2 linked regions of the Callithrix jacchus genome follow. The protein of the gene in region 2 interacts with the protein of the main gene of each other region in a pairwise test. Links are inferred from orthologs where the notes say so. Each region holds a gene or a part of one and is shown on either strand. Other genes may lie near its edges.

Region 1 (3,178 bases), on a different chromosome or scaffold from region 2:
CTCTTGCCACAGTCTCCTGAGTAGCTGAGACTATAGGGGCACACCACCATGCCCAACAAATTTTTCAATTTTTTTCAATTTTTTGTAGAGAAGAAGTCTTACTATGTTGCCCAGGCTGGTCTCACACTCCTGGACTCAAGTGATTCTCCCATCTGAGCCTCTTAAAGTGTTGGGATTATAGGCATGAGCCACTGTGACCAGCCTGATTCTTTTTGAATGAAAGAAATGTACTAGAAGAATTGAGCTCCTGCTCTCTGTACCTCTCAGTCATACTTTCTTTTTTTGAGACAAGAGTCTTGCTCTCTAGCCTAGGCTAGAGCCCAGTGGCGCAATCCTGGCTCACTGTAACCTCTGCCTCTGGGGTTCAAGCGATTCTCCTGCCTCAGCCTACTGAGTAACTGGGATCACAGTGGTGGGCACCACTGTGCTTGGCTATTTATTTTTATTTTTTAGTAGAGATGGGGTTTCACCACCTTGGCCAGGTTGGTCTCGAACTCCTGACCTAATGATCCACCCACCTTGGCCTCCCAGTGCTGGGATTACAGGTGTGAGCCACTGCATCTGGCCCAGTCATACTTTTAACAGCCCTAATAGTAAAACTTTAAAATTAGAATTTGTTCAAATGCCCTTACATCTCAAATGGAGTAAGAATTGGGATTAAATAAAACAGTAAAGAGATAACAGAAGCTGAAGCTTGTGAGCACAAATTGTTGAGTTTTATTTAACTGCAAGTGATGCAACCTATGTTAACACATTCTTTTCTCATCCATGTTCTTTAACTGCTCACATTACCTTTACAGAGACAAACATTATCAAATGTGCCTGATTGGTAATTTATTAACTTTATCTGTCAAGTGATAATATTCTGTAGGCAGCTTTTGAAATTGTTTTGAGAATTTATTTACAACCACTGAACACAGATGGTTTTGTAAAACCGACAAGTAATTACAGGTTCCCTAAACTCACAACATACGTATATTTTAATATTTAAATAGCTAATTTTCTTCAAAAGTAATTTTCCACTGCTTTTTCATAAAAATATAAGACATTTATAGTTTTAAAAACCTGTATTTAACCCAAATCAAAATTTTTCTACAAATGATACCTCTTTCCAAAAAGTTAAAAAGACATCACAGAATACTGTGATGTTAAACCAAAGACTCTTGCCTCAGTAACATTTTATTTTTAAAGAAATATTGTGCAGCATTTTCTTTTTAGCCTTTCATGCTAGATTTCAACTATGTATATCCTATGTAACCACACCAGATTAATCCTAGTCATTCATATTTATGCACTAGACTGTTAAATGACTAGTTAGCATATAAACTATACTATAATAATTGCAAAAATAACAAAAGGCAATCTTTATGAAAGCTTAAAAAAGCTTTTAATAAAAGGTGACCAAGGCTGCCCTAATTTGCAGTAAAAATTACCTCTTCCTCCTACCTTTCCCCTGCTTTGAATGGTACCTTTTATTGCATGTTAATACACGAAGATATTTCTAGTACTTCTGCTTAAGTTAGCCTCTTACATGGCTGCTTTCTTTTCTGATACACTGACTGTCGGAAGGCACCAAGATTACACTCCTAAGTAGTTTCAGATTTTTTCTCCCTTTTTAGGTTCCTCTAGAAAAATTTTCCTTATAAAAGGATAACTTGAAAAACTTAAGGAACCAGAAGAAAATGAATGATGTAACACAGCAACTTGAAACTTGTAGCATTCAAAAACTATAAATATATTAATAGGCTCCTTGAACATACCACTTAGGACAAAAAGTCAGAATAACTTTCTGAACATAAATGTAAAAATAGAGCACATTTATTAACAATAGGAAAACTCCTATGCTTACAGTAACAATATATTAAATCTTACATAATTCATAGCCAAAAGCATTAGAAATTCACTGCCAAATATTCTGATGCACCATCCTGAAAATATGTCTGGTATATACCACTAACATATATAACAAAGTATGGCATTTATTTCACAGAAAGAAAAGATAGTTTCATCACACAAACAGATTTGGAGATTTCAGCTTTAAGTTCTAGAGAGATATTTTAAAGAAAAAAATGAAAAACAGGATTCACCCTTCAAATAAAAAAGTCTCTCTCTATATATAATTCATTATTAATACTCTTTATGCTCTTGCAATATAAAACATTTAGAAACTTTTGAATTCTAAAAATTTTCACCAGTTAACCTATTTGGCCTTAACATATTCTAAATTCCCTTTCAAGAATCACATTAATGTTTTCGGTCCATCAGTCCAATATGGATGGAACAACTATTTCTTTTTCTTCTTCTTTGGTGGTTCATCCTCAGAGCTGCTATCCATGCTGGTGCTGCTGCTACTAGAAGAACTGGAATCTGAGTCTGAATCAGAGGAGGAGGATGAGGTTGTGGAGGAGGCTGAGGATGAGGAACTAGAGGAGCTTTCATCAGTGTCACTGTCCTCTGAGGAGGATGAGGTAGATGTTTCTTCACTTTCTGATGAAGAATCACTGGCTGAACTGCCATTGCTACTGCTACTTGAACTGGTTACACTCTTAGACCTATTAGACAATACACAATTAAATATATTGGAAGGCACATTTAATAGAATGTTAAAAGCAATTTCTTTTTTATTTTCTTTTTAAGATGGAGTCTTGCTCTGTCGCCCAGGCTGGAGTGCAGTGGCGCAATCTTGACCCACTGTAACCTCTGCCTCCCAGGTTCAAGCAATTCTCCTGCCTCAGCCACCCAAGTACCTGGGATAACATGCGCGTGTACCTACGCCCAGCTAATTTTTGTATTTTTAGTAGAGACGGGGTTGCACCATGTTGGCCAGGCTGGTCTTGAACTCCTGACTGAGTGATCCACTTGCCTCGGCCTCCCAAAGTGCTGGGATTTCAGGCATGAGCCATCGTGCCTGGCCAAAAGCAATTTTACATGATTCCGATTATATATATATATGTATATACTGAGCTTTACTAGCATGTTATCCTTTGGTTTGATGTTTTGGGGATTGCCTAACTGCTGTAAACTACACTCCTCTCTTTGTAAGATATTGTTGCTTCAGCAACTTAATTCTCTTGGTTGGAATTCAAGATAAGAGTATCTACTATATTACATTTCAGAGGTGATAATGTTAGAATAAAGCTGCAGTGTAACAACTGGCTCTATTTAAACCTCATATAGC
Region 2 (4,578 bases):
TCTCAAGGCAGCCTTGCTGGAGGCATCAGAGAAGACCCAGCTTCCCTAACTCTAAGTTGGGTTTGGAACGATAAACAGGAGTTCGCCAGGCCATCGGGTAGGAAGGGAGCAGCATGGGCACAGGCTCTGGGAAGTGAAGTGCCTCGGCCCAGGTCACCCAGGCAGTAACATGTGGGTAGCAAATGGAAGCCTGGTCCTTTCCTCTGCCATGTTGAATCATAACCTAGGAGCCTCCCATACCTTTGGCATTGCCAAGCTTCCCTGATGACCTCTTCCCTGAACGGACTGGGCACCCAGGAGCCCCCCAACCCAGCTCACTCACCTGGTGTTGGAGAAATGGCTGCCGCCTGGACTGGCAGGGCTGGCATCTTGGGTGAGGCTCTGGCCTGGGCCTAGAAAGGGGCAGGGAGCACTGGTCAGCTGTGGCCAGGACTCCAGGAACCCCAGAGCCTGGAGCTGCACGAGGCCAGGGTCTGGGCATCAGGTATGTGAGTGGGCCCCGGGTGTGAGGGGGGAGCGTCCACCAACCCTCAGGGCTCAAGATCACATAAATGTGGCCTCTGCAGATGTGTCTTTTCCTGGGAGGAAGTTCTGAGGACTGTGACCCACCATATGCCACAACTCATTTACTGCCTGCAGAAGGAAGAACATCAAGGCCCATCTCCCAATCAAATTCTCAGCTGAGAAGTTCCAAATTCTCAAAACCCACTGGAACCACAGAGTGCTGGGATGGAGGGACAAGGGGGCACTGGGGCTGAGCAGGCCAATTCCCACACCCAGAGTCTTGTTTCCTCTGAAAGCCTGCCTCAGAGCATGGGGCCTGCCCATCCTGGACGGAGGGAGAGCTGGGACTGGGCGGGCCAGAGCGGGAATGAGAGAGGCATGTGTGCAGCTGCGTGGTCTCGTCCATTCTCTCTGTAACACCACTGGCATTGCCTCCAGATGCCTTCTCTGCCCAGCAGGCCCTGCAGTGGAGACCTACATGCCCTGAGGCCTACAGGAATTTCCAAGTGGCCCCAATACCCAGCTCCTTCCAGGGTAATCCTCAAGGTCCCCTTCAGCGCCTGGCGACTTACCTGAATGGCTTGGTCCACTTTTAGGTCCTCCAGGGATGGGTACAGGGACGACATGGCTGCTTCTCGGAACACCCTGCAGAGCGCAGAGGGTGGGGAGGGATGAAGACAAAGCTCATGCCCCCTTGAGAGGAGTCAAAGACATTTGTAACAGCAAGCGGGCTGGAAGTTAATATTCAAACAGAAAGGCATCAGGGCACTTAGAATCCCTCCCGGAACTCCGCCCCGAATTCCCTCTCAATATTGGAGCTCTACTGTATTCCACCCATCTCCAGCCTTACTGTCAACTTTTAATCTTGGCCACAGTGAAGTAAGACCAGTAGGAAATTTATAAAGACTATCACACAAACTGTAGCAGAACATAGACACTCAACAGAGCACTGCTCAGAGGGAGGCAGGAATGGGGGATGGAGAGGCACCCTGAACATTCATTCACTAAACACCTTCTCATTGTCCTGGGGAGAATCAGCAGGGTCTCTGAGCAAGGTGCCCAGAGAAAGTGAAAGGAATGATGACGTCTCAAGACATGTTTTATTTCCTTCCTGACGAAATGTGGGGAAGCAGTCTGCCTTTCTGGGTTCCTTCCTTTACCCACTAACCACTGGCTCTGTCACTCCTCCAGGCTTCGCCGAGGCAGTCTACTTCAATGGATCCCTTCTTGGTCACCCTCAGTTCCTGTGGGACAGGCCTCCCCTGGCTCCCAGGCAGCACGGTCACTGCCCCGGGACAGTGCTGGGCTGAATTTCAGTCTCCCGCCTGAACTCACTAATTATGCTGACTTCAGTTCTGAGGGGTCAAGGTGTGTCCTGTTCACCCCACTGAACCCACATGTGACAGGTACACATGACAAAGGCATGCCTGCTGGTGGCACAGGAAACTGAGGGGCCTGTGCTGGGGTGATGTGACTTCACTCACAAGGGCAGGAGCTCTGTCCTGTTCACACTCGATCCTTTCCCACCACGACACTGCCCAGCACACGTGTGCTAGCAGAAATTGTTTGACTGAATAAATCAGTGGTTTTCCAAGGAACAGATTGGAAATTTGTGCGGGTATTTTTGGGTGTCACAAGACTGAGGGGACAGTCATATCCCTGGGAGGGGGGCAGGATATGAAACTCCTGTAATGGATGGGACAGTCCATTACAGTCACCACAACAAATGGTCCTGTCCCACACAACTTTCAGATCAAACCTTCAAATAGGCCAAAAATCTGTTATAGTTGGTTGAATATACAATCACAGTGAATTTTTCCCTAGTTTTAATACAGACAAGATTGTCTGGAAATGCATACAGTAGGTTAGTTGTGGGGAGTTACACTGTGCTCACCATTCTAGAAAATCACTGCCCACCCTGCTCACCATGGGTGAGTCACTAGAACAGCATGCCCACGTCTGTGAGCATGTGTAGCTGTCAGAGTGGCTCCACGCTTCTACACAAATATATTTAGCCTTTGATTCAAGATGTCAGATATAAACTGTTGGCAAAATCCAGCTGAATATTCTCTTCCAGTAGATCTAAGCTGACTCCTAAGTTAGGTATAAGCATGATCGGGTGTAAGCCAGCCTCAGCTTTTACAAAGTGAAATGCATATTCTTTTATTAGAAATTGCTTTCATTTCCCTGACTTCTCCTTTATAAAGACAGGGCCTCATATTGATTTTTTTACCCGGGGGAACCATCACCTAGGCTATAGACTCGGGACAAACCTGCCCCTTCCCTTGGCCTCAATTTCCTGCTTTGGGAAATAGGAGCCACGAGGCACAAGCTCCATCCACTGCGCGAGTCCAGGAGAGAGGGCCAACGCGGTCCTTAGGGCCTGCCTCCACCCTGGCCTCAGTTTCCCATTTGTCACATCGTTCCACGATCTCGAAACTCCCACAACCCCCGCCGCCGCCCCAAACCAGCCGGAAGCGACATCTCCCCGTTGCTACAGGTTACGGCGGTTGCTAAGAGCTACGGCGCCTGCGCAGAAACCCCGCCAAGTGACGCGGCAGTGTCTGGAGTGCGTCTCGCCCACCCGGACTCAGGCGCGGCTAGGCGTGACTCCCACGATCTCTGGCGGCTGCGGAGTGGAAAATGGCGGCCTCCATGCCGCGTGGGTTGTTGGTCGGGTGGGTTACTAGAGTCCGCCCGGTCTCGTGCTTTCTCTGGGCACCCGTAGCTGGCGCCGGCATCCACAAAAATAAATCAGGTAAAGCACCAGAGTAAAGGGATAGGAAGGCTCGGTCGGGCTCCGCGGCCCCTCTTTACCGGATTGGAGGCTGCGAGGGTGAAATCGAGCTTTAAACTCCCCTGGCCTCTGAACACCATTTTAGCCTCCGAAGGAGGACTTATAAGATTCTGTACTAAGGCAGCCGTGGGAAAGGAGGAGAACCAGACCGACCCGTGAGCTCCAGGCTGCTCTTGCGCGCCCTTTGGTTTCGGAGGCGTCAGGTCCCAAGGTATTTCCTACCAATTGTGACGTCACCCTTCCTCCCACCCTCTCACCCGTTTCTTGTCTGGCAGTGACTTCTGACCCATTGCTAAGCTAAAAAGGCCCCGCCCTATCCTACGCAGATTCGCCTCGGGTCCCACCTACCAGTGACTGATTGGGCCTCTGCTGCCTAGGGAAGGGTTCTTGGCTTCGCCGGGTAAATCAGTTCCCGCAGCAAAATCAGACCAAAAGCCAGTTATGAGGGACTCAGACAGTTGGGTCTGGCGTATAGGAAAAAGGCTAGGGCAATCTGGAAGGTCTCCTGGAGGGAGGAAGAAGACTGGGCCATGTAGGATGGATATTCAAGTGGGTGAAAAGAGGGTGCTGTTCCAGGGACAGGGAGGCCCGGGCCTGAGAGTCTAGTTGCCTTCTGGATCCCGTTTACCTCCTGCATGTTATCCAAACTGGACTCATAATTCTCCCCAGCAGCTGCTGCGCCTCCACAGCAGTCCCACTAAATCCACCCAGGGCTGTGCCAGAAATCTGGGCGTTATCCTCGGCTCCTCCCTTTCCCTTCTGCAGCCATACCTAGTTCCTGCCCTCGAATTTCTGTGACCTGACTTCTGGTAATGTTTGTAATCTCACCAACTCACGCTTTGCCACACTCATCATGGAGTTCATTTACTCCAGACTGCTTTAGGTTGAGTCCTAAAACTCAACCTGCTAGTTCATGCCTCCATGCGTTTGCAGGTGCTGCTCCCTCTGTCTTAAATGTCATTCATGCCTTCTCTCTTTTCCTTGTTGTGAACTCTTCTTCCTCCAATTCAGAGCTTTCCCCCACAACCACATGTACCCATGGAGATTGGCAAGCCTCCCTTCTGTAGACTACAGCATTTCTTATATTTGCCTCTTCATCATTCATTCCACAAATGTTTGTTAATCACCTATTGTGAGCAAGGCCTTCTGCATTTCCTGGGTTGGATTTCCAGTGTGCTGTGTTTGTTTGCTCATCTCCCTCACTGGTCAGGAAATGTCACTCATTTGTTAACCCCCAGTGCTGTGCACAGTGCCTGGCACACAACAGGCGTCTTGTT

What was found.
Region 1: the proteins of SDCBP2 (region 2) and ZCCHC10 interact in binary tests that used the Homo sapiens proteins (3 or more experiments, as listed by UniProt). The two-hybrid records come from large-scale screens. The link is inferred for Callithrix jacchus from reciprocal best matches to the Homo sapiens genes SDCBP2 and ZCCHC10.

Annotation. Positions count from the first base shown.
Region 1 is NC_133503.1:75,432,419-75,435,596, reverse strand, and holds the end of ZCCHC10 (zinc finger CCHC domain-containing protein 10), read right to left. Parts: intron 2,553-3,178; coding exon 2,285-2,552; 3' UTR 695-2,284; downstream 1-694.
Region 2 is NC_133506.1:9,012,858-9,017,435, forward strand, and holds the start of SDCBP2 (syntenin-2), read right to left. Parts: upstream 2,995-4,578; 5' UTR 2,843-2,994; coding exon 2,778-2,842; exon of another isoform or gene 2,754-2,777; intron 1,236-2,753; exon of another isoform or gene 1,150-1,235; coding exon 1,077-1,149; intron 393-1,076; coding exon 323-392; intron 1-322.